7 linked regions of the Coturnix japonica genome follow. The protein of the gene in region 6 interacts with the protein of the main gene of each other region in a pairwise test. Links are inferred from orthologs where the notes say so. Each region holds a gene or a part of one and is shown on either strand. Other genes may lie near its edges. The genes, in order: HMBOX1, CDR2, TFIP11, MTUS2, PPP1CB, SH2D4A and GOLGA2.

Region 1 (4,080 bases), on a different chromosome or scaffold from region 6:
TTGTGCAGCAGACACTGCTCCTAGTTCTGTTGAATTACCGTATCGCAGCACTGGAGGGATGCGTGTTTTCTAGAAAGGTCAATAAAATAGAAAAGAATTGCTCAAGACCGCTTAATAAAGTAGTTCTAGAGATAAGCAGGCCTCATCCACGCAGTATTTCCTTGAAGGTTTCCTTACCATTCTTTAAATAACCTGCCGTTTCACCTCTGGTAGCATTCCTGTAACACAGCTGGCAGTCTGCATAGCACAATGTCGTCTAGACCTGCTCTGAACAGAGTTGGATGACACAGGAGTAAAAATGCTGATGGCTGTTCGGGTGCCTGCGCTGTGCTGAAGGAACGATAGGAGGAAGAACGAGGCAGAGCTGAACGAGACACAAGTTCCTTGTTCCTCCTCCGTTCCTCCCTTGTTCCTCATCTCACGCCCAGGCTCGTCAGACAATCCCATCAACCATACAGAAAAGTTGTGGCGGTCATGGGGCTAAGGAATAATCTTCACATAGGTGGGAAAAAACAATCCCAAACCCCCGTTAGCTGATATAGCATCAAGCACCACTCAGAGGTCTCAGAATAGGCAGCTAACAAACACATCCCTGCACTGCTATCTCCCATCTCTCCTCCCCCACCTGTGCCTCAGAAATGTTTTCTTAACGATTCGGAAGAGAAATGGCAAAAAGGTTGATGCGAAACACAGAAAGAAATGAAGTTCGTTCCCTGTTCTCAAACGATTTGGCCGTAGCATGACAAGAGGAAAAAAACATATTGAGAGCGATAAATCCATATATACCTACTCCAAACTACACCCAGCATCCCGAGGGACCCGATGTAATGGTAAATAAATATAGATGCAGTTCCTACTAATGAGGTAGGGTACAGCAAGGCCAAAGCAAATGCAATCAGCTCGGGGAAAAGAACTGCACAGGACTCCTCCTCTCCCATCCAGGGAAGAAATCAAATAGCAGCCACACCATCCCAGGAAGAAAGCAATGTACCTGATGAACCCTGCAGCAATGAGCTGGGATGCAAGCAGGCACTACAGCACCAAGCCTTTCCCCACCAGTTTCCCCTTCCCTGTATTTACGTGCTGTCTTACAGGCAAATTGTAGTTTTCCCCCCCAGTTTCCTTCCCCTCCATCCCTATATAGTTGGATCAGGGGCATCCAGCAGATCCGCTCCCACACCGCCAAGCCCTGGCTGTCACGTTAACACTTTCCTCCCTACAAAGTTTCAACCTTCCCAGCTCCAGCTCACGTGCTGTGCTGTACTTAAAGCCACTTATCTCTAGTCCCAATGAGAACAAATTAAGCTACACCCCACTCCGCTGTCTGCTTACAGCCTTGATTTTCCTCTTCCTTCTTCCCTCCCCACCCCCCCCAAAGAAGCATTTTGACCCCTGCACATCACCGAACACCCACAGCTTTTTTCAGACCCACCGAAAAGGGTAAAATAAAAACCACAACAAAAAACACGACATTCCAAAGAAGTACTTCGCAAAACAACTGAAAAACCCACCAGAGGTGGAAGAACTCAGCCCAACCTGCTTCATATGTGCGATCTGAGCTGATAAACAGCACCGAACTCGGGTAGGGTCAGCCCAGAAGCGGGGCAGGGTGGGTGGGCAGCATCCCCTGCCATGCCGGGCTCTCAAGGGGGCATGAGGGTCCCCCGAACGAACCCGGGCACAGACAGAGAAGCGTCGCAGCTTCTCTCCCCGTGAAGTAGGGAATAAACAAGCGGCTGACACCCCGCCCAAACCCTCCTCACACGTTTTAGGACCGATTTGTCGCCGGCTCCTTCACCCCATCCCGCACAAACGAATCCCTTCGGTTCGACGCCTTCGCCCTCCCGCAAAGCCCCGGCAGCGGCACAGCTCGGGGGGGGGAGGCGGAATGCCCTTTTCCCCCCCACATAACCGTAGGAAAACAGTTGGGTTCACCCCGGAATGAGTGATCGCTCCCTCAAGGGTCGGATCCCGGAAAGGAATGAGGAGAAAAGAGGGGGATAAAGGGCTGAGAGATATGGGGGGGGTATGGGGAGGGAAGGGGGAAAGAGGGATGAGGGAGGGGGGCCCCCCCCAGCTCCGCTCGGGGTTCGCGGTCCCAGCACCGAAACAAGCGGAAAAATAAAGAAGAATAAAGAAATAAACGAAAGAACCAGCACCCACCCAACCTGAGGGGACTCCGCCGCCGCGACTTCGTCCTCCCCACACCCGGGAGTGGATGGGGGGGTGAAGAGGGGGGATGAAGGGGTGAAAACACAAAACAGAATAAAAAGCCGAAGCAGCAGCAGCAGCAGCAGCAGAGCGATCTCCCTGTTATCCGGGGGCACCCTTCCGTCCCCCTCCTCACGCACCCTCGGATCTCCTCACGCCTCGAATCCCTCCCAGGCTCAGACACAGCCGGGGGGGCCCTTCCCCCTCCCACCCACCCTCCCTCCCACCCTCCCTCCTGGCAGCCCACCCACCCGCCCGCCCCCGTTCCCCCCCTCACCCCCACTCACTCACTCCCGGTGCCGGCGGTTCCTCCGCTTCACCATTGAACGGGCCGCCCCCGCCGGGGACCCCCCCCCTGCAATGAGGGGAGATGAACGTGGACAACAATAGCGCTGTGCTGCCGGAGCCCCCCGAGGATAACAGCCCCCCCCTCCCCTCTCTGCCCCCTCGGCTCCTTTTCTCTCTGTTGGGCTTTATTTTTTTGTGGTGGTGGTTTTTATTTCTCCCCCCCCCCCCTCCCGGCTCGCTCACACCAGACCGACTGTCTTTGTCTGTCTGACAAGCGCCATGTTGATATCAACATCCGAGCTCCCACCTGCTGCAGCTGTGAGACCCTGGGACTTGTAGTTCCCCCCTCCCCAGGGTGACGGGGAGCGCCGCGGCTCACGGACTACAATTCCCAGCGTGCCGTGCGGCGCGGCGCCACCACGGGAGCGCGGGGCGAAGCGGAGCGCGGACTACGGCTCCCAGCATGCAACGGGACGGCAAGGTGATATGGAGGGGGGCGGCATGACGTCATCACGGGGGGACTACAAATCCCGTGATGCTTTGCGGCGGGAAGGGGGAGCGAGCCGGAAGTGGGGGGGCAGGATTGTGCCTGTAAATAGAGCCGGGCAGCATGAAGCTGGTGAGTGGGGGCTATGGGGCCATTGGGGGCCGTGGGGGGTCTATAGGGCCATGGGGGGCTGTTGGAGGCTATTGGGGTCTATTGGGGGCTATTGGGGTCTTTGGGGGCTATTGGGGTCTATGGGGGCTATTGGGGTGTATGGGGGGCTGTGGGGGGCCATGGGAGGCTATTGGGGGCTATGGGAGGCTATTGGGGTGTGTGGAGGGCTGCTGGAGGCTATTGGGGCCTATTGGAGGCTATTGGGGCCTATTGGGGGCTATTGGAGGCTATTGGGGGCTATTGGGGGCTATTGGGGGCATGGGAGGCTATGGAGGGCTATTGGGGCTATGGGAGGCTATTGGGATGTATTTGGGGGCCATGGAGGCTACTGGGGGCCATGGGAGGCTACTGGGGGGCCATGGGAGGCTACTGGGGGCTATGGGGGCTGCTGGTGGCTATGGGAGGCTGTTGGGGGCTATGGGAGGCTATTGGGATGTATGGGGGGGCTACTAGGGGCTATGGGGGGAGCTGGGTGGTGTTCTCTGCGCTGGGATCACCCTCGGGGGTTGGGTGAGGGGCAGGCAGTGGGTTTGGGCCCATAGCACATGGGGCTGTCCCATAGGAGCATCCCCAATGGTTCGGTGTGGAAATAGCTGCTGCTTTAGTGTTAATACACGTAGCTGAGGACACAGCACTGTGTTATTCACTAGGAGAGTGGTTAGGCCCTGGAAACAGGCTGCCCAGGGAGGTTGTGGATGCCCCGTCCTTGGAGGTGTTTCAAGGCCAGGTTGGATGGGGCCATGGGCAACCTGATCTATGGGGTCTCTATGGGGTCTATGGGGTCCTATGGGTCCTATGGGGTCTCTTGGCAACCTGATACTAGTAAATGTGTAGTGTTTGGTGGCCCTGCTAGGCAGGGGGGTGAACTACATGATCCTTGAGGTCCCTTCCAACCCGGGTCAGTCTGTGATTATTACACGCCT
Region 2 (3,500 bases), on a different chromosome or scaffold from region 6:
ATATTCAGGAAGAGTATTTGTGGAGCTGAGCGATTCTCCTGCATTCATAAATTCTTGATTATTAGCTGAAAACTCATACTGGTTATTTCCCACACTGTCTTTAGAATACTGCTTCAGTGTTTGTACAGCCTTGTGTTTCAAAGAATCTTCATCTATTTGACACTTCTTCAAAAGTTCCTCATATTTCACTTTCAGAGCATTATACTGAGCATCGACTTCATTGAGTACAGAGATTCCCCGCTGCTTCACAGCTTCAGCTCTCCTGATACACGTTTCTTCGTGGCCCCTTAGAATGTCTCCCCCTGCAGCACTGCTCAGGAAATTTTCACTGCTGCTCCGCTTCAGTGCCTTTTTGTCAAGTTCAGGGACAGCCAGAAGCCCGTCATCAGCTGGGCTCTGACCAAGCTCCCTTTCTAAAGATTCCTTAAATGAAATGAAAAAGGATTCTGGCACCAATTTCTCCGCATTGTGGAGTGTGTTTTCAGATTTAAGCATCTGTCGCATTTCAGCTACTTCCACTTCTAACTCCTCTGCACGAGCCCGATACAAGTCAATATCAACAAGCCTCTGTTCAAGGTCGCAGTTTTCTTTCACCACAAGACTATATTCCTCCTCCATCGTTACCCTCTTCTCTTTTTCTAGGTTGAGCTGGGCTTGCAGAACCGTAACTGCCTTCTTCAAGTTCTCATTTTCTTCTTCCAGAGGACTTAGCTGACTATCCATTGAAGTAATCTTTTCTGCAAACACGTGATCATAAACAAAATACCTGAGGAGACAGAAGCAAGGATTACTAATAGGAAATAGAGCTGATTGCACCTGAAGTTTTCCTGTCATTGGTAACTAATGACAGTTTATGTTAACAGATCTGAAAGAATACATAGCATGATTGGAGCCTGTAGATACTTCATGTGCCATCAAGCCTCTCAGCTCAAGCAGGATGGCAGCTCTTTAACAATCTCAAATTACAGATAAGTTTACTGAATAATGAGATCTATAATTTAAGTTTTTTAAATACTGCCTTCACATATTATGTGATACTCCCTGACTTTCAGATTTCTACCACATCTCTTAACTTGTGTCACCCCTGATTGTGGAAACAAGCTTCAGAATGAACAAAGCAGTTCTGTAGAGCGGCAATCCCACAAACCTTTCACAGTTTGAAGTAACCCATTTATCTTTTGAATTGTCATCAAGTAATTCCTTGCTTGCATAGGTTGTTAATTGCTCAGTCTTACTTGCACAGTGCTGGAAGCCTAAACACAAATCCTGTTCTCCCTGTCTGCAGAAGTACTTCACTTCCTCTATTAGCTTCTAGCAGTGAAGACAGATTGGGACCATACCCCGGGTGACTCCTGATGGGCATACAATGTGGTTCAGCTGGGTAGAACTGCTCTACATTAGAAAGCAGCCTAAAGCTTCAGGCAACATTTTACCAGCTTAAATTCTGCAAAGCTACTGCAGCAAGCTCACCTTGAGAAGAAGGTGCCTACAGATGTCCAAGGAAAAAGTAAGTTACAGAAAATATTGTTTAGGATAATTTACTTTGTAGCTATCTGTGTTTGTGCTTTATCTAACTGAAAAGAGGGAGGTTCACATTCTTGAAGGCTTTCTAGGACACAGTTTCATACAGCTGGAGACTTTGGGGGAGAACCTGTCAAGATAGAAAGTAGAACATACTGTTCCTCTCCCACAAAGATCAATACAGTCCGCAGCCAGAGCACACCAGAAGCATGACAACACCACACACTGCACAGCTGTGCAGGTGTTTTTCTAGTTGCAAACTTAAAATGCTTTTCTGCTACCCTGTTAAACATCTGTGCTTGTATCTAGTTTTTGAAACATTGCTCAAAATAATTTCAATAATCTGTTTGCTATGCAAGGTAAGAGTCTTACTGGCGAAGGTCATATAGCTCCTTCAAACAAGAGAAGCTGTGCATTGATCTTGGCTGGTCAGATCTCTCATGGTTCATCCGGCCTCGTCCAGACTTTTTCAGTTCTTCTACTTGCCTCTGCAGGTCATCTATGTGTGTCTGCAGATTTTCAATAGTCTCTGTCAAGCTAAAAGTGAAGGACTGATGTTAAAACACTTGACAGTTTAATCCAGGACAGATTAGTTCCCATCCCTCCCCATTCCAGCTTCTCTGAAGCTCTTTGGCCACAAATCACCTTTAAATAAAACTTTCAGTTTAAGAGTGTTGTAGAACAATGCTAGACAAACAGCCACCAAAAAGCTGCATGTATCAGTTGAGTAGAGGGGAGAAAAGAGGATCTAGCTTAGGTTTGTTACCTTAGTATCTTTTGTTGTGACGCTCTGCTCTCTGCAACTAGTTTTTGATTAGTGTCTTCTAGTTCTCTTGCTGTCACATCCAGCTGTTCATAAACTTTTGCATGTTGATCATTCATTTGACGCAAGAGCTCCACTTGCTTTGTGAGATACTGCAAGACAGCATTGCTGTTACAAGTCTATACTAGAAACACAGGATAGGGCTACTATTCTGCAGTTTTGTTCACATTAAATACCTGCTATGATTGCTGTGATTTAGAAACGTACAGGTTCCAGTGGTTGCTTTGGTTACTGCCCAGTTGAAAAGGTGCAATCAGTAGCTTAGCTACTTCTCTTGCCTTTGTCATGGAGGTCAGCAAAGGCTGATCAACCAGTCCTTTACCCACATGAGTTGGGTTGGTTCGTGCAAACTGTGTTTATCTGTTTAGCCATCCTTGCTGCAGTTAAACTATTGCCAGTGCTACCACAAACCCATCTGGATTGGGTTTGTCTGTGCTGCAGTCATCACCAACTCAGCCACAAACCTGGATTTCAACACAGTTCTTCACAGAGTCCTTCTAAAAGTTGCACTGAACTACATCATAAATTTTGTAATAATGTTGACCCAATAATTTTCTCAGCATTTAAACTGAAGTATTGGGTAGCACTACCCTGATTGTTTTTCTGCTTGTCTATGTTTGAATCAGCGTTAGGTTCAGCAAAACACATTTTAGGATGTGGTCACACCTGAGATTCTGCAGACTCCTATGTGTCAGGAAGTAGAACCAAGCTATTGGATTCAGTCTTTAATTACCTACAGGGAACTATTTCAGTCATTATAATGCTGAAAAAGTCTCCTGCACTTTGTTTTGTTTTTTTAAATACAACTCCACACAAAGTGATCTCATTTTAATTCCCTTTACTTTTATGGTTAACAAAATAACCTGCTAAGTGTCTAGGATTATTTCAGAAAGTTAACCATCACCTAAGACTCTCAGTACAAGTGCCTTATATCGTCCCAGCTAGGGCAGCACTGAGCCAGCTTCAAAAAAAAGAAAAAAAGAACAAAAATTTATAATAAACAGACTTGATAACAAACCCCCCAACCCCTAAACTATTGAATACTTATTTGTTACGTAGAATTAACGCCATAAAATAAATTCTGTGTTACTACATACTAAACATATGAGCACCTGTTGGACTTCTGAGCAGAACTACATCTCCGTACACACAGTTA
Region 3 (3,331 bases), on a different chromosome or scaffold from region 6:
CTAACCCCATGTTACCAAGCTGTGTCCACACTGTGACCATACTATCCCCCCACCAGGAGGGAAAGCACAGTATAAATGGGTCTCCCACGCTGTTCTATATGGTGCACTGCGGCAAAGCATTGTACAACAACCTGCTGTGGAAGAACTGGTCTGTTGGCGCCCTGTCCAACATGGTCATCATTGGCAACAGCTTTAAGGGCATCGAGGAGAGGTAGGTACAGCCCTACAACCCATTTCCAACATTGCTGTCCACTCCTTGCTTTCTTTCTGTCACAGCTGCAGCCTCTTCTTCCCTTTTCCATTGAGAAAAGTTGTTTTCATGGCAATTTCATGGTCCTAATTTACCTCTTCTTTTTTATAGGCTGCCATCAAGAGTATTGGAGAGAGATTACACTTACATTGCAAAGGTAAGAAGCACCTTTTAAACACAACACCACTATTTGCATTTACCCAGCACCTTATTGTGAGAAGCAACATTAATCACAACTTTAAAGCTGAAGGTGGTTGTTTTTAAAGCCTTGGGACCATTTTATTATCTTCAGAACACGTTGCAAAGAGGGGCACAGTTAACACAACACTCCCATCTTTCACATAAACTTGCACAGAAGTTCTTTTGCTCTGTGTTTTTCCAAATGCTCTTTAGGTTTTAAAAGGGGTGGAGGAAGTTGCCCTCCCTGCTCATCCGCGGTACTTGGATACCTTTAACGACACCTCCATCCACTGGTTCCCTGCATATAAACTGGAGAGACTCTCAGCTGAAGCTTGGGAGTTCCTGGAGGAGCCGACTTATGAGGAATGTGATGACTTGGAGATCATCAGGAAGGGGGAGGAAGGGAGCCAGCACAGCCCTGCTCCAGTGCAGGCCTAAGTTCTGCCTCTTCCCTCGGTCCTCCTGCACAGCCAAGGTGACACTCAAGCACTGACAGCACTGCTGCCAAAAGCAGCACCTGAACACTGAGCTAGATGGGACATTTTTGTATCATAGTGATTTTTTAATAAAAGTAAAAGCTCCACTTTGACTTACACTCACTGTATGGGAAACTGGTCATCACAGCCTGAACCTCTGATTAAGCAGCTGAGGCAAGTGTCGGGTTAGCTGTGGGAGTACACCATTGAGACAGTAATTACCACTGCCAGGGCACTGCCGCTGTCAAGTAGAGCTGCAAAATCTGTTGGTGGAGCGTTTGAGGCTGATCTACTGTTGGCCCTGCCCTCACTTGTTTAGTGGTTTGAGACAATTATTGCTGAATCTGTATCACAAGTGGCCATTACACAAGCATTGGAACTGCTTGCTCCTCCCCCTTCCTCCCTTTGCATTAGCTTCTACGTATCATTTCACCTCTTGACACTGTTGCAACAGCCAAGAAAACAATCCTGGCATCCAGCTGCAGTTCCACTGTTTGCAAATCTGTAACGTCTTTATTCTAAGACGGTTACATGGAAAAACATTACTAAGATCACCTTCACAGTTTCAAGCAGGAGCCTCACTTGGCCATGTCAATGAGACTCTGGAGAGAGGTTGGCACCCAGGTCTTTTCTCCTTGTACAAATACAACACCTCTGTCAATGTAAATCACAATCCGTCCAAACGTATATAACTGTTTCCCTTCGTGTCGCTTTCCGATCACGGGCATGAAAACAATGTTGTGTTCCTCTGCTTTCGTCTGAATTAGGTCCTTAAAATTCATTGGCACAGAGCTGGCTGCCATGCCTATGCCTCGTTGAGCCATGTTCTCGGCCTCTCGCCGTTCCTGCATGGCTTCATACTGAAAGTCTTTCCTCCTTTCTGTGTGAGTAAGGTATGCAATGTTCTCCCGGGCACCTGGCTGCATGTAGCCACCTGTTGGGGAGAAAAAAGTGTGAAAATCACATGTAAGGTTTATGTGGGGAAGCTCCAGTCCAAGATGCATACAGTGCTAGATTCAGCGAGGCTGAGCTGTAGTGTTCAGAATCATCCTCCATACATTTACATTGCTTGCATTCACAGTGTTACTGTTAATACAAAGACTACATAGATGAATCAGAGAGCTGTAGCTAAAGATACAGGACCTGATGTAGTCCCAAACTAAATCTGAGCATGCACAGGAAAAAATGCTACACTGACAAAGGTCCAGAGTGAATACATCACAATAAGCCACCTACCAACACTGGAAGAGACAGCCCGGTTCATGATATCAAGAGCTTCATTGAATTTGTCTTTGATGGATGGATGTGCCAACACTTGGTCTGAGAACATGGACTTCCAGCCCAAGTACCACTTTGTGATCTCTTCGTAATTGGGGCTATTACTAAGCCAAGAGCACAGCACCTGCAAAACAACATGAACAAATTCAACAGGATAGGTACATTCAGGGAAGTAAATTAGCTTGTTTATGACTCAGCGGAGCAACAATTATTAGGTCAGAGTTACTGAAACACTTCACTTGGAATCACAACTGTCAGAAACAATTCAGCCCTGTTCCTCACCTGCAGCCATTTTGGGAAGAAGTGTTTCTCCAGCAACCCAACAAGACTGGAGACAGAAATCATTCCTTCCCAGTCAATCACCCAGTAGAAGGCATCCATGTGCTGCTGATGAGGGTTTATGATGAGTTCATTCAAACACATCCCTGGAAAGAGGAGAAGAACAGTTAAAGGAGTACCTGACTTACCAGTGCCCCAACCCATCTCACAATGAGGTATATGTGATTATTGCACCGTATTACTTCCAGAATCTTTAAAATGTTTGGCTGATCCCTGCCACCAAAACAGTGCAATTCCATTTCCCTCAATTACAATTTACAGCCAAAACTGAGAAACTTAAGACATTCAGCTTTTTTCCTTCTTTTCTGGATCAGAGCCTTACAGCCAGATTGCACGGCTAAATGAAGATTGCACGGCAAATCTCATAGTGAAAGCATTCACATTAGCAAAAGAATTAAAAATGCCTCTCCGTTGTCTCACCAAGTTTAGGCACAATGTTTTTGACCATGAAAGCCTCCCATGACCCGGGTGTGAACACATCCTTCCACGGCTGAAGGATAAGTTTGGCTGAGGAGTCACTGGGATGCCATTTCTGCAGCGCGTTCGCCAGCTTGTTTCTGATGGGAGAATAAAGTGGTTCCAATCGTGCCTGCATCAGGGGAAGCCAGGGATGGATCCAGGAATGGATTGGGACTGTGTCTGTCAAAGGATTCCAGTTTTCAACCTTAAGGCAAAACACAAAAGAGGTTTAATTTTCTATTGGCACAAAGTCTTCCCAGATGCAGATAACCCCCTAAACCCAAAATACACTGACAAAGGCAACAAGCTGGTATTGCGGAAGCTGCAGTTGATTACAATTCAAACAGTG
Region 4 (3,500 bases), on a different chromosome or scaffold from region 6:
TCTTCATAGGCACTTTGGGGGATATGTTCATCATCTGCGTACTGTCAGCATGAGGTAGGACTGAGGAGGGTGACAGTTTGTCAATGGGAAGTGCATATAGGTCCTTCAAATTACTGTTTGATAGTGTGGGCTGACTGTTAACATCCAGCACTGCCACCGGGCGCATATGAGTTGGAACACATAAAAAAGTGTCAGCCTTTGCCGAAACCTTATAGCTCTCTTGTGCTTCATCTGGAGGATGTTTCTGGGCAGGGATTGTCTTTTTACTTGGAACCACGAAGGTTTCCACGTCACTGACATGGTCGTCAGGCTGTTGGTTTGACACTGTCTCTGTGCTGCACACTCTGTCATGCTCAGAGAGATCAGAAGCAGGCAAGGCAGCTTCCTCAGTGCTTCCTTCGACCAGCATCAGTTTATCCTCATTAACTTGCAAGGGTTTGCTATCAGGAAGATACACATTTTGTATGTGAGATACCTGTTCACCAACTGTTTCAGCACAGCCTGCATCATCTTCATGTAAATTTTTGTTTTTAATAGGTGTCACTTTGCTACTGGAATTACCATCACAGGTGAGTGGGAATATTGTTTCCACTTCTCTGTCTTCCTCACTAAGCTGGGTAGCTGCCCCACTGTCACTGTCATGTCCTTCTCTTCCTTCCCCGTGGATGGTGAAGTTATCACTTTGCAGTCTGTCATCAGAAGAGGTTACAACCTGATTTGACACAGGATCCTCTGCTTTATCACAGATGTCTTGAAAATGGGATGTTTGAAATGTTGATGCGTCAGAGCCAGACTCCTTCTGTTCTTTTACTGTTGTACTTCCATCTTTTTTACATCCCAGAAACTCTACCACCATAATTCTCTCAGTCTTTTGTTGACATGTGTTTTTAGATTGTAGGGATGTCACAGCCTTAAGCTCCAGCTTCTTACTTTTATCACCCTGACTTAATTGTGCTTCTGATTTACTAGCAATCTCACTGGGCTTAACAGCTGAATGATGATGGGTATGAGAAGTATGCAGTGTGCTTTCGGTGTTAACATTTGGTACGTTTTCTGGTTTACTTATTTTCTTGTTCCCTGAGGTAGATGGTTTGGAATAAAAGACAGTATTTTCCTCTGAGGTATTGTCGAGTGGATGAAACACCATCCCAAGAAAATGATCTGTGGAAGTTTTTTGTGATTTCTCTGTATTTCCAATCAAATGGTGCGACCTGTCAATGGAATCCAATGATGCGGAAAGCAGACGTTTACAAGACACACGGCCAACACATTCTTTTGTAAGTGTTTCAGATTGAGGAGAAAATTTACTGGGTCTGCCCAAAGAGAGCCTTTTTATTCTTTCCATCTCCACAGTCCTGGACATTTTACCCTTAGGAAAATTCTGGGTGAAGTCAACATCACCTTTAGAAATGATCTCCAGGTTAGCATCATTTGTGCTGCTTTTTAAACTGGACAGACTTTGTCCTCGGCTCATCCTGATATGCCTTGCTATATCCTTAACTTCACTGGCCCTGCTGTCCTTCCCTATTTCCCTGCTTGTGGTTGAAGGCAGCTTACTTTCTTGTATACCAGTGTTACAGGTCCGAGAGTCTCTGAGCACCAGTTTATTCTGTTCTGTATCCAGACAAGTAACTCTCTCCGATCCTCCAGAGTGTACATTTCCACCTTCATCTGTCAAACCCTGTTTCTTGATTTCCCCCTCCGTGGTTCTAATCTTTGTCATGATTTGGTTGGCATTGCTATCCCCCACGCTCACTGTGCTTTCATTATTATTTTTTATCTCACTGCGATTGTCCTGAAGCTGGGAATAACATGATTTGTTTGGGACTAATGGAGCACTCATTCTGAAGCTTCCAGTGACTGCCTTTTTGGCAGCCCTAGGTAATGAGAAAGCCTTTGTCCCCTATCAGATTAACAAACTATTATGCGTGCTTCAGTTTTAGGCTTAAATTACAAACTGATCAGTAAGAAATTCCTCAGCAGAAGGCTCGGAGTCTCTTGTCAAAGTCACATTTTTGTGCTGCTCAGTTGCCTCCAGTGCAGCTTCTGGATCCAGGAAATCCTTATGAATGCAGTAGAGAGGTTCAACGAAAGCAAAATAGATCTGTCAAGTTCCCTCTGAATGACAGCCAGTTAATCCAGCCAACCTATGAGAAAACAAAAAAAAATAGACTACGTTACATGAATATCATGAGTTATACTAACTAAAAATAAGGTTAAAAGTGGCAAATTTTCCAAAATGGAGAGCTTTCGGACAGTTCAGATTCTCTTTCAGCCACAGCTTTGCCCTCAGCAGAGCTTCCTAATGTAGCCCAGATCTCTGACTTGAGAAGACATAGTTAAAACTGTCCTGGTTAGAAGGCAAGTTGCTACTGACACATAGATTTAAAACTGTTGATTGCTGTAAGCAGCTAAGGACAGAACCCCACATCAAGGCTCTGAGCACTTTCATACTGCTATAAGATATTGACCTTTACTGCACCAAGAAATGCTACTGAAGTTTTTAAAGCACTACTGTAGAGACAAGATTAAGTATTAAAATTCCAGCTCTATTAGGGGGCATTGGTGGGTTTCTTCCTTTGTGCTGCACAAGTCACTGCTCTGCTTGTGCTCTGACTCATGCTGAGCTGCTGTCACCTGCACAGGGATGTGGATCCCTTCTGCTGAGCTGCTCTCCAGCCAGGGACTCAGCAGCATCTCCCAGTTTAGTACTATCAGGAAAATTGCTAAGGATACATCCAGATCACCAATTAAGATGTTGAGCAGAACTGGCCCTGGAACTGAGCCTGGGGAACACTGCCAGTGGCAGCTTCCAGCCAGATGCAGCTCCATTCACTGCAGCACTTTGAGCTGCAGCCAGTTCATCTCTCAGCACAACAAGATCCTGTTCATCTCACAGCTGGACAGTCTGTTCAGAAGGATGCTGTGAGAGATGGCATCAAAGCCTTACTAAAGTCCAGAAAGATTACATCCACTGATGCAATCAGATCCCCTTCATCCACTCAGCAGTGATGTTATAATACATAGAATTATATCAAATTACCAATTACCAGGCACAGTCAGTGTGGGCTCAAAGGAAAAGTCCTGCATTAGTAATTTGACAATTATCTGGGTCTTCTCTCATGCCCTTCTTGTAGGAGGGTATGATGGTGGCTAGCAGCCAGCTGGCAGGGACCTCCCCAGACTCCCAAGACCTTTGGTAAGTTGTTGGGAGGGATCCAGCTGTAACATCTGCTGGCTCCCTCAGTACTATGAAGTGAATCCATCAGGCCCGTGGACTGATGAATGATAAGCTGATACTTGCAATTTATTTTGGTGAATGGAAAGTTTTATTCCCCCAGTCATGATTCTTCAACTCAACGACTGGGTAGCATTAATATTACAAACTAAGGCAAAAAACCCCACACTATTAAATGCTTCTGTCTTTTCCTCATTCCCACGCATTAGGTGACCATCTTCACCTTATGTCCTCACTGTGCCTCAGATATCTCAGACCTGAC
Region 5 (3,963 bases), on a different chromosome or scaffold from region 6:
TCATTTCTGTGGTCCCCCATCAGCTGCAAAGTGTTTCAGCAAAGCTAAAGAACTATGGTTGAATGACTTTTAATGTTTGCAGAAGCTTTCATGAGCTATTTCTGTATCAAAATTTATCATGTAATCAGCCAAAAGTACCCCCCAAATCAATCAATCTAGAAGCACCATCTCTAACAAGTAAGCAAGTACCAGACATATTTTAACAGTCACCGCAAAACAAGCTCTTACCATTCATTAAACCAGCAGCGAATTCAGCAATAAAAAGGATTAGTATTCAGTATATGCAAGAACATGGAAATAAACCAACGTCCTGGGAAACTATCATCAAGCATTAGACTATGGCTCAGCTGAGCCTTCCTGAAAACTATATCCCCAATTTAACTCAGAGCAAAACACTCCAAGCACTCTAAGGATCCCATGTACATGTTCAGAGTAACCATGCATGCAGGCACATCTGCTGAGTGTCAGTACTTTGTCCTTGAGGAAAACTCGCAAGCAGCCCAGCCACAGGCCGCCTCATTCTGACGTCTCAAACAAGAAGAATCACATGCAGGGTAAGATGATCTACTGCAATCAAAAGGCAAGTTTAAGGTGTTATATAATCCACAAGACAAGTGGTCTTGAGCAATCGTAGTGAAAACAGCTACGAGAAACGTAATTAAGAACACAGGCTAGAGAGCCTCACAGCCAGGAACAGGTGTCACAAAGCAGGAGGCCAAGGTCACTAGGGAAGGTTGAGGCCACAGCTTTTGATACGCACTTACTGCCTTTAAAATTGATGTGCAGCCTCAGACAACTGCAGACTGCTGCTGAAACTGAACACTACCCACTTCGCCTCGAGTAACCAAAAGGACCACAGGCCTACAGCACACCAACATTACATTACAAATACTATTGATTATGGTAATGCAGTTTTTGGTTTAACAGCCCAAAAGCCACATTTCCTCATTGTTATAGTCAACAAAATTACCCTGTTTTCATGAAGAATCTTCCTGATCTCCGCTCTAAGAGATTAAACTGGCTGACAAACAGATGCTAAACCATCACAAAAACTTATTTCTGAAATTGCATATACATATGGTTAGAAATTAAACTGCCATGGAATGAAAAGCATAGATAAGGTTGCTTGGTCTCAGTACAGCCAATTATAACCCCAAGTGCTAGAGAGTTGCAACACAAGTATTTATGGTATATACAGAAGGAAACAAGTAAGTACTTTAAAGGTCTTGATCACCTTACAACAGAAATCCGTCTGCAAGCAACAAGCAGATGGGCAGAGAGGAAAAGTACTTCTCATTTTCCTTTATTTAAGAGCCTCTTTCCATAAATAAGACCAAAGAAAGCAACCAAAAAATCACAACGCCATACGTACACACACCACACACCTTACGAAGGTCAAAAATAAAAGTACAAGAAGAAGTCAATGTTTAGTAGGTTACTGCTTCGCTTGCCTTACGCCTACCTACTAATCTGGGTTCCAACACGCAGAAAATGGGGAGTTTATCTGGAGTAGTGATCAGAGATAAACTCTGACTGATAACAGCTGCAGGTTCTTTCCATACTACACTACACTGTGTATCCTGAAACACAAACACGAGTACAACCTCCCAGCGCCTTCGTGTTTTTTAAAACACTGGTTTTATTGCTTTTAATTTATAGTTTCACCTCCCAAAAGGAGAGCAATTACAATTAAAAACTGAGAGCCCTACAAACTCTGCTTGGCAGTAACTTGGCTATAAAGAATTTTCACGCTTAGGAGACTCGTTTCCATTCCAGGACAGTACGTACTCCATACATTTCTTTATATAAGCCTTCTGCAAAGCGATTTAAATACCCGAGGCTCCCATCTCCATTTGTGGCGAGTGAAGAGCTCGTATCCGCGTACAGCACAGCGGGCACGGGCTGCGTGCGGGATGGATGAGCTACGTGAGGAGAGGCCTGCGGAGACCCAGCACTAGAGACAACTTACAAGAAAACGCTAATATCACTATCGCAGTTTATCCGGAAAGACGGATTCACCTTCCCTTCTCATTTTGAGGGAAACCCGCACAAAACACACTGCAGCCCTGAGCAGCTCTGCACAGAGCACAGGCACAGGGCCGCTCCCACACAACCCCTCACCTAACGCCGCTCCCCAACGCGTTTCAGACCCGGGAAGCTACGACTGACCCAGCCGGCCCCCAGCTCTCAGCCGAGCCTTCCCCCAGAGGGCAGCTGCGGCGGCGGGAACGGCTCCTCCGCTGCTTTAAAGGCGGCGGGGCTCCCCCCTCCCAGGTACCCCCGCAGCGTCCCCTGTTCGCTGCGAGGAGCTGCGAGAGGCCCGGTCCGGCCGTGGAACACCCCGAGGAGCCCCGAGCCCCCCAGGCGCCCCCCGGCTCCGACGGAGGGGCCGCCCCGTCTCCCGCCGCGCCCCGCCCGCCCGCCTCCCGCCGGCGCCCCCCGCTGTCCCGCGGGTCGGCTCGGCCCGGCTCGGCGCTCACCTTCCAGCAGCCGGGTGATGAGGCTGTCCACGTTCAGCTCCCCATCCGCCATTTTGTGGCCACCACACTCGGTCCCGGGCGGGGAGAGGGCGGGGTGGAGGGCGCTCCGCCGAGCAGCAGCAGGAGGAGGAGGAGCAGGCAACAGCAACGGCGGCCGCGGCGCAGACGGCTCCCCCCGCCCCCCGCGGGCAGTGCCCTCCGGCCGCCCGGCGTCACAGAGCAGCGCAGCCCGGCCGAACTCGCTCCCGTTGCTCCCTCGCCGCTAAATGGGAGCAAGCGGCCGCCTCGTCTACCCGCGCCTCCTCCCCGCCTCAGCAGCCGCCGCCGCGCATGCGCTGAAGGAGCGGCGGGTGGCGTGGCGCATGCGCGGTGTTGTAGCTCCGGTCTGGAGCGGCTTCCAGTCACCACATTGAGGCGTAATTATATATTATCGTAGAACATGAAGTATTTAACGTGGACTGCGTGCGTTGTCTTTGATCAAGGGGAGCTGCTCAGTGACTTCTGACATTACAGCATACACACATGGAGACCAAAGATAGCTAACTCGTTATTTAAGTAGCAGAAGCAGGACGTTGCTGATTTGCCTGTGGCAAACTCTCATTAATAATACTCATCTTTCTAAACTTCCTTTTGGTTATTTGGAAATTTCCTCTTATGTCCACAAACAGGGCTTTGCTGCTAACGTTGGTCTCAGTGCCATTTACCATAAATACCCTGTGTGACATCTTTCCTTACCCACATGCTGTCTCATGATATCCTTTAATTCAGCACTAAATGTATAAGAATCAAACAACAGAGATTTCCAAATAAGGTGGCAAAAAATGATGAGTTAGTAAGTATTATTCTCTAAGTCCTTACTGTGCTACTGAGACGGTTGTGTCCCAGTTACAGAGCCCTGTCCTGACAATATTGCCTACTCTTTCCTGGTTGCCTTACATAGGGTCAGCAATCAAGTACTTTACGTATTGACTTCAACACGGTTAAAGTTGCTTTCAGAAACCATAGATCCAGCTGTATTGTCCTTCTTGGTCTGTCCTCAGTCACCTGAATGAAAACACGTGGCAATATTTGACAGCTATCCACTCGCCACAGCTTATATCTGACATGTATCACCCTTGTGGAGACTGACTACCATTGCTGTGTAGGTGGGAAAAGCTGCATGGCCTATAGTTGATTTTCCATCCTGTAATCAGGAGCATATTTTCCCTGCATGGAAGCAAAGCTGCCTCAATGGCCTTTTTCAATTGCTGACTTGAAATGGGAGTTAGTGACCCCAGTCAGCACAGGCACATGTTTTCTGAGGACACCTTGCTTCTAAAACACTCACGGGTCTTGATTTTTGAGCAAGAAACCACATCCAAGTGCTCTCAAAATAGACAAATACTGCTGATTAATTATCACTAGTTGGTTGCAAAACCTTATATCCAGAAGCAGTCACAGAAAAACAAGCAGATCCTACCATGCATCACCTTAGGACACTTTT
Region 6 (2,751 bases):
GCATTCAAGAGCAAAACCCAGCTTGAACACAGGTATCCCTGAGGAAATCTGCAAAATCTCTGTTCAACTGATTCTTCAATGTCTAATCCAGAACAACATGCATGGTGTATCTGGGTGTTTTGTAGCTTGCGGGGCTGGTGCATCCTTTCTCTCTGTTGAGACAACAAGCCTGTGACAGCACTTATTCTCCCACTGCTTTGTTGTGAAGGATTTGAAATAGAGGCACTTATGGCAAGTTTCAGGTAAGCATCAGTAGCTTCCAGTTTGAAATCCAATCTTGGTGAAAACGGCATGGTGCTACGTAATGAGACTGGGAGGCTCACTCGAAAAGGGAGATGTAATCTGGTTCATGGTCCTCTTGACCACATGGATAAAGCAACAGCTCCTTTCCCATAGAGGTGATGGGTTCATCCTGTTGACAGAAAATGCAATTAAACACTTTTCAAACAGGTCAGTTTACCTGGAATATCACAATATATTGCCACTCCATGACTGTGTGGACCTATTAGTCTCACTGTGTGATATGTCTCAGAGCCCTGGGAATTCAGGATGCAGATCTGCATGGCTGGCTTCTGCCTTCAAGAAAGTGTGCTTGTTATAGTAATCCAGTGACATGATTCTGGTAGGTCTTGGAAATAGCTGTGCTTGTCTTGTAAGCAGCTTCTACAGTGTGAAATGCTGTCCTGCCTAGGAATTTCTGGAGTAAGGATTGTGTGGCATGCAAGTTAGTGGGACTGCAAGCTTGCTGCATTTGCACTAGCACAGGTGGGGTGCCCACAAGTGGGAGTTGTGTTTGTGAGAGGGATGGGACTGGACCCTGCAGTGAACATGTGCCTTCTGCTTTGGCAAGCCTGTTTCTAATGAGAATTCCCTGGAAACTGTTTCTGTTTCCCATCCTGTTCTCAATCTCAGCAGCAGATACATGGTGGGAATTTGCCTTTTTTTTGTGGTCATCCAGTGGGTGACGAATAGAACCCACTGGAGCATGTTATCTGGGTAGGTTTGCCCTGCTCCCACATACATCTGCTGTAGTGCAATAGAGTCCGTAGGATTCTTTGCAGACTGTGGGTGTGACTCTATCTTTAATACAGATATCTACAGCCAGGCTTTAAATCTTCCAGCTCTGGTGCCAGTAAGTTGTCTAGCTCCTGCTTCCAACAGGTTCAACCTGGACTGTGAAACCTACATAAGAAGCAGGTTGAAGAAGCCCAGATAGATTTTCACATAGCAAATGAGTGTAGATATTTTTTCACCTACCAGTTTTGGTTAATCGTGTCTAAATTATGCTAGGCTCTTACTTGGAGCCTATGCAACTGCAGTCGGTGCTAGCAAACACTTGGCGTTACTGTTGTAAGGACTTGACAGCCTTCTTCCTTCCCTTCCATTATTTGCTACCCTTGCTCCATATCATACCTTGTCTGTTTTGAAATTATAAATATACCTTGTTCTCTTTCTTTCTGAAGCTGGAGGTGAACTATTTTCAATTTATTGAACTTGCTGGGACCCCACAACCACTGAGAAAATCATAAAAAGTCTGAATGCTTTCATCTATTGCCTTATCAGCAGTTCTGCTAAATAATGTGATTGAGCCCCATACAAGGTGTTCTGCCTGCTTGAGGGGGAGCAGTTAAGGTCTAAGACATCTGAGATGTATGTGGGTGTCCCCACTGGTCTCACATACCCTTCTGGAATGGCACATATAATACCCAGTAGTAGCTAAAATGGGACTAGTTAACTACATTATAACAACTGAATCTGATGCTTCTTATTTTGAAGTGCTTTGAGGCAAATACATAAACGGTAGTTAATGAGTTAATTGCTGGAACTTCACCTTGTGGTAGTCAACAAGGTCAGCCAGTGTTGAATGTTGTAGCTGGTCCACTCCAAGGAAGCTGTAGGAATCGCTGGAGGCATCAATAAGGAAGTGTTTACATCCCTCTGCAGACTGATAGGAAAGCACGTAGCCTTTGATTTTCTCACTGACACGGACCAGAAAACTCCCCGGCACTGTTTTACTCAGAAGCTCCTCTGCTTTTCTAGAGGTTAGGATACCTGTTCAAAGCCACAACACAGAACTGAAGTGAGAAAAGCATTTGTGCAGGAGCAGATGGAGCAATTCTCCCAATAAACCCTTTTTTACCATTCTAAAAGTAATTCACAGTGCTTCTATTCCCTGCTTGTTTTCTGGCCCACTATTACAAGAAAGGTACTGCCATTGCTGGTAGCAGACCATGGTGTCATGCTAACTGTGCTTTGTGCTAACTGTTCTACATCCAGAATATTAGGCTTATCAGCTAGCTATGCGAAGTCAAGATCTGGCTTCCACTCCAAGACTTTAGCTTGAACTTTGTCACAATTAGAGAAATTCATACTCTTGTACATATTAAAAATAGAAAATGTTGCTAGCTACCTTCAAAAAGTTCCTGGGAGCAGTCTGTTGTAGCAGCCCTGTAGTTGTAGTAGAAACAACTCCTTAAAAGGTTGAGTTGGGGCGAAAGTGCTCAGGACTCACCATGAAACCAAGGTGCTATTGTGTCTGTGTTTTTTTGATAGCCAGCTCGAAGGGGGAATTGCTCTTCTTTGAACCACCTGATGATGCTTTCTTCAGCTGAACTGGAGATTGTCCTCTGGATTCCTTCTTTCCTGTTACAAAAGACAGTGATCTGTGGATCAAGTTCAAATGACAGCTTTTGGATCCTGGCAAGAATTGCTTTTTGTTCAGCGTGATAGGAACAATGCTAAATAGAAGGC
Region 7 (3,955 bases), on a different chromosome or scaffold from region 6:
GCCCTTCCTCCCCCAGGAGTGAGGGAAGACACTCAAGCCTGTAAATGCAGTACTTGAAATACCCGACTTCCTGCCTAAGCACATTTAGAACTGTGGTACTTGCCAGACTGTACATCACCTGTGCAGGTTTCATCACCTGTCATAAAATGGGGCGGCTGGAATAACTAAAGGCTTGCTCAGGGCAGGCATGAGCAGAAACTCGCCCTTCAGGAGCACAGCACTGAAGTGAATAAAACAACACAGACCAGGAGAAATACACATGAATAAAGCACTACTCCTCCCTAACACAGCGTCTCTCAGCAGTTAACTTGGTTTACTGCCTCACCCCAAACTCTGTTTGCTCCTTTCTGCCTTCCAGCTCGGCTGTCTGAGGGACGTGCACTGGACATGGGTGACATATTTGCATTTTTTGACAGAAAACAGGAGGAAACAAGCACTTACAAGCGATGGAAACGCATGTTAACAAACAGCCCCGTGTTAATAAAAACAGCAGACATGCCAGAACAAGGCTCCATCTGAATTCACAGTGTAAAACATAAGTTAAGCATGCAGAGGGGACAGCGAGTCAGTGAGAGGGACACGGAGCACTGCCTCACCTTCCTTCTGTCCAATGAGGGTATGGCTACCCCATTGGAGCGGTTAAGGTCTGACACCAGCACCTTCAGAATGTTCTGAATCTAAAGGAGGCGAAAGAGAAGGGGAAAAGAGAAACGGCTCAGAAAAGGACAGAGAGAAAAACGTCCATCAAAGGCAGCCAAAGAAACGGGCATCGCCCAGCCCCCGAGGAGAGGCAGCTCGGGGTGCATCCAGGGTTGCGTTACAGCTCTGAACGCTCCAGCACTGCTCCAGCACACACCCTGACTCACAGGCTGCTAACAGGGGCTCCTCAGCCGCTCACATTACACTGTTTAACCCTCCCCCAGCTGCAGTTGTGCTGTTTGGGAAACCAAAGCTGGAGGCAGAGGGGATACGTGGGAGGAAGGGGGGGACGCTCACGTTCTCTGGAGACTGTCGGCCGTCGTTTGTGGGAGTCTCAGGCCGACTTCCTTCTTTACTCTTTCGTTTCTTCTTGGCTCCCGCAGTCGCTCCAGGGCTGTTCTTCTGCTGATACTCCTTCAGCTGCGGGGAAAGAAAAGATTAATGTGAAGTCCAAATGGAAGATGTCCTCTGTGAAGGGAATGGCAACAAGAAAATGACAACATAACCAGTGGGTAAGGAGTCAGCTGAGCTGTAAGGACAAGAGAAACCGGCCTTAAAGATGGATATACGTTAAAAATAGTTCAAAGGCTCCAAAAGGGAGAATGAGAGTGATGGGTTTGTGACAGACCGAGAGCTGTCAGTGCTGTCCAACTAAGGAAGTGCCCAGGAAACAACTTGATGCTGCAAGAAGCAACGTTTGTAAATCTGTAACCAACAGCAACGAGGGAAAAAGAACGATAACATGGGATGCAAACTGGAAAAGTGGAGTCTGATAATAAGATGGAACAAGAATGTTGAAAGAGCTTTAGGAGAACGACAGCCCTGCAGGTAACACACTGATACAGGCACAGAATCACAGAATGACCCGGGTTGGAAGGGACCTCAAGGATCATGTAGTTCCAACCCCCTGCCTGGCAGGGCCACCAAACATACACATTTACTAGATCAGGTTGCCCAGGGCCCCGTCCAACCTGGCCTTGAACACCTCCAAGGACGGGGCATCCACAACCTCCCTGGGCAGCCTGTTCCAGGGCCTCACCACTCTCCTAGTGAAGAACTTCCCCCTAAACTGCCAGCACTGCGGGGATGAGCACACTGCGATGGATGCTCAATTGGAGGCCGTTGTGCCCAGGAGAAGCTCAGAGCAGCACAAATGGCCGCAGCTCGGGGCTGTGAGCGCCCATGGAACGCGGGGCTGAGCTTAAACGTCAAGGTGAAAAGCACCGGAACGAAAAGGATCCTCGGCAGGATTTCAAAATGGAGCCCGAGCTGCTCCGGGGCACTTTCCCATTCGTTTGACTTTGACACGGGAGGGCATCGCGATGGGACGGAGCGGGCCGAGCTGTGAGAAGGTAAAAAGGGAAGAGAAAGGGGAAAAGAAAGGAGGGAAAAAGGAGAAGAAAAGAGGGAGATGGAGAGGAAACCCGAACGGGAAAGAGCGGCACACACAGAACGCAGCAGTGCAGCAACACAGGCCCGGCCCCACCGGGGCGACAAGGAGCTGCGGGACCGGGCCGGGCCTCACCGCAACGCTACGGGCACGGCACAACACGGCACAACACGGCCCCACATAGCACAACACGGCCCCACACAGCACAACACGGCCCCACACAGCACAACACGGCCCCACACAGCACAACACGGCCCCACATAGCACAACACGGCCCCACACAGCACAACACGGCCCCACATAGCACAGCACGGCCCCACACAGCACAACACGGCCCAGCACAACCCCCCGCCCTCACCTTCTTCTTGGCCGCCGCCAACTTGCTCTGCCTGCTGCCGTCCGCCATGTCCGCCCCGCTCCCGGGCCACGTCAGCCGCCGGGTGGAGCGGCGCTGTGCTCGGGCAGAGCTCCGCCCCGACACCCGCCCCGACACCCGCCCCACCCCGCGGCCTGGGCTCGGCCGGGCCCCTCCGCCCGGTCTGGGCCGTGAATGGCGGCCGGTCCCGCCCCGCTCAGTGCCCGCCCACGGCGGATGATCGCAGCCCCGCGTTCCGGTTCCCATCGTGCCGTGCTGCCGGTGCAGGCCGCGGCCCTGGCGGAGCAGAGCGGTCCCGGTTCGGGGCGCAACGCGCCGCCCCCGCAGCGCAGGTAGGAGCGGAACGGGTCGGTTCTGTTCGGTTCGGTTCTATGTGCTGACTCGGGGCTCCCCGCGCTGTTTCAGGGCTCTCGGCGGTTCCCGGCGGAGCGGTGGTGCCGGTTTCAGATCCCCGGTGAGCCGCCCATCCCGTCCCATCCCGTCCCGTTCCCCCGGCTCCTCTCGGTGCCGTTCAATAACCGCCATGACGCGCCGTGTCCCCGCAGCGCCCGGCCCCATCCCGCACAACGGGCGGAGCATCGTGCGATAGTATCGAAGAACTGAAAGAGAAGGAGCGAGCTCTGGACCGGGAGATCGCGGAGCTGCTGTCCGAGTACGGCCCCGTTACAGCCCCGTTACGGCCCCGTTATTGTCCCGGTACAGCCCCGGTACCGCGGCCATCCTAAGGGTTATGGGATCCATGCACGGCAGCAGGGAGCTCCTTCCCCGTTGTTTCCCCAGTGCTGTGTTGGTCAGGCTCTGAGCTCCCCTGCTGATGTACATTGGGAAGTAACGGGTGTGTTTCTATAGCTGATGGCAGCACACGTTGTGCTAACAGAGCTGCTGATGTATATAAGCTGAGATCTCAAGCTGAGGCCGCTGCCCAGCTGCCTGGATGAGCGTTTCCCTTGGTCTGTGTGAGGCCATGGACACTTGGTTTGAATGAGGTGGTGGGGGTTAATCATAGAGACATGAAGGCTGATAAAGAGCTCTGATCCCCACCCTGTGCCCACTGCCACGTCCCTCTATTCCACGTCCCTCTATTCCACGTCCCTCTATTCCACGTCCCTCTATTCCACGTCCCTCTATTCCACGTCCCTCTATTCCACGTCCCTCTATTCCACATCCCTCTATTCCACGTCCCTCTGTTCCACGTCCCCATGGCTCTAGAACACCTGCAGTGATAGGGGCTCCTCCATCCCTGTGCTGTACAATGCCCCACCACTCTGAGAAAGGCGTTTTTCCTGCTATCCAACCCAAAATCATTGCTCTAAACAATGATGGGTTTGACCAGGCTGGCTCTGCACACCTCAGATATTGCTTTGTTCCGCAGTGGTTTTGTTGTGTGGCTTTGTTACAGAGGGTACAATGTGGAGGAATTGGAGAAGCACATCTCTCTGCTCCATGAGTATAATGAAATTAAAGATGCTGGGCAGATGCTGCTGGGCAAA

The links.
Region 1: the proteins of SH2D4A (region 6) and HMBOX1 interact in binary tests that used the Homo sapiens proteins (3 or more experiments, as listed by UniProt). The two-hybrid records come from large-scale screens. The link is inferred for Coturnix japonica from reciprocal best matches to the Homo sapiens genes SH2D4A and HMBOX1.
Region 2: the proteins of SH2D4A (region 6) and CDR2 interact in binary tests that used the Homo sapiens proteins (3 or more experiments, as listed by UniProt). The two-hybrid records come from large-scale screens. The link is inferred for Coturnix japonica from reciprocal best matches to the Homo sapiens genes SH2D4A and CDR2.
Region 3: the proteins of SH2D4A (region 6) and TFIP11 interact in binary tests that used the Homo sapiens proteins (3 or more experiments, as listed by UniProt). The two-hybrid records come from large-scale screens. The link is inferred for Coturnix japonica from reciprocal best matches to the Homo sapiens genes SH2D4A and TFIP11.
Region 4: the proteins of SH2D4A (region 6) and MTUS2 interact in binary tests that used the Homo sapiens proteins (3 or more experiments, as listed by UniProt). The two-hybrid records come from large-scale screens. The link is inferred for Coturnix japonica from reciprocal best matches to the Homo sapiens genes SH2D4A and MTUS2.
Region 5: the proteins of SH2D4A (region 6) and PPP1CB interact in binary tests that used the Homo sapiens proteins (3 or more experiments, as listed by UniProt). The two-hybrid records come from large-scale screens. The link is inferred for Coturnix japonica from reciprocal best matches to the Homo sapiens genes SH2D4A and PPP1CB.
Region 7: the proteins of SH2D4A (region 6) and GOLGA2 interact in binary tests that used the Homo sapiens proteins (3 or more experiments, as listed by UniProt). The two-hybrid records come from large-scale screens. The link is inferred for Coturnix japonica from reciprocal best matches to the Homo sapiens genes SH2D4A and GOLGA2.

The regions. Positions count from the first base shown.
Region 1 is NC_029518.1:96,819,285-96,823,364, reverse strand, and holds the start of HMBOX1 (homeobox-containing protein 1), read right to left. Parts: upstream 2,801-4,080; 5' UTR 2,499-2,800; intron 2,372-2,498; exon of another isoform or gene 2,352-2,371; intron 2,332-2,351; exon of another isoform or gene 2,164-2,331; intron 810-2,163; exon of another isoform or gene 178-809; intron 1-177. Other genes in the region: INTS9 (integrator complex subunit 9), read left to right, coding at 3,110-3,118. UniProt on the Homo sapiens protein: Binds directly to 5'-TTAGGG-3' repeats in telomeric DNA. Associates with the telomerase complex at sites of active telomere processing and positively regulates telomere elongation.
Region 2 is NC_029529.1:8,355,824-8,359,323, forward strand, and holds part of CDR2 (cerebellar degeneration-related protein 2), read right to left. Parts: intron 2,437-3,500; coding exon 2,288-2,436; intron 2,059-2,287; coding exon 1,894-2,058; intron 767-1,893; coding exon 1-766.
Region 3 is NC_029530.1:6,260,357-6,263,687, forward strand, and holds the end of TFIP11 (tuftelin-interacting protein 11), read right to left. Parts: intron 3,188-3,331; coding exon 2,944-3,187; intron 2,610-2,943; coding exon 2,467-2,609; intron 2,309-2,466; coding exon 2,143-2,308; intron 1,841-2,142; coding exon 1,485-1,840; 3' UTR 869-1,484; coding exon of another isoform or gene 644-868; 3' UTR 501-643; downstream 1-500. Other genes in the region: SRRD (SRR1-like protein), read left to right, coding at 57-211, 362-407, 644-868. UniProt on the Homo sapiens protein: Involved in pre-mRNA splicing, specifically in spliceosome disassembly during late-stage splicing events. Intron turnover seems to proceed through reactions in two lariat-intron associated complexes termed Intron Large (IL) and Intron Small (IS).
Region 4 is NC_029516.1:157,080,212-157,083,711, forward strand, and holds part of MTUS2 (microtubule-associated tumor suppressor candidate 2), read right to left. Parts: intron 2,148-3,500; 5' UTR 1,844-2,147; coding exon 1-1,843. UniProt on the Homo sapiens protein: Binds microtubules. Together with MAPRE1 may target the microtubule depolymerase KIF2C to the plus-end of microtubules. May regulate the dynamics of microtubules at their growing distal tip.
Region 5 is NC_029518.1:24,323,243-24,327,205, forward strand, and holds the start of PPP1CB (serine/threonine-protein phosphatase PP1-beta catalytic subunit), read right to left. Parts: upstream 2,801-3,963; 5' UTR 2,533-2,800; coding exon 2,481-2,532; intron 1-2,480. UniProt on the Homo sapiens protein: Protein phosphatase that associates with over 200 regulatory proteins to form highly specific holoenzymes which dephosphorylate hundreds of biological targets.
Region 6 is NC_029519.1:30,070,082-30,072,832, reverse strand, and holds part of SH2D4A (SH2 domain-containing protein 4A), read right to left. Parts: intron 2,644-2,751; coding exon 2,513-2,643; intron 2,053-2,512; coding exon 1,832-2,052; intron 413-1,831; coding exon 320-412; 3' UTR 1-319. UniProt on the Homo sapiens protein: Inhibits estrogen-induced cell proliferation by competing with PLCG for binding to ESR1, blocking the effect of estrogen on PLCG and repressing estrogen-induced proliferation. May play a role in T-cell development and function.
Region 7 is NC_029532.1:3,735,658-3,739,612, reverse strand, and holds the start of GOLGA2 (golgin subfamily A member 2), read right to left. Parts: upstream 2,801-3,955; 5' UTR 2,712-2,800; coding exon 2,448-2,711; intron 1,120-2,447; coding exon 997-1,119; intron 678-996; coding exon 597-677; intron 1-596. Other genes in the region: DNA repair protein SWI5 homolog, read left to right, coding at 2,989-3,000, 3,055-3,161, 3,865-3,955. UniProt on the Homo sapiens protein: Peripheral membrane component of the cis-Golgi stack that acts as a membrane skeleton that maintains the structure of the Golgi apparatus, and as a vesicle thether that facilitates vesicle fusion to the Golgi membrane.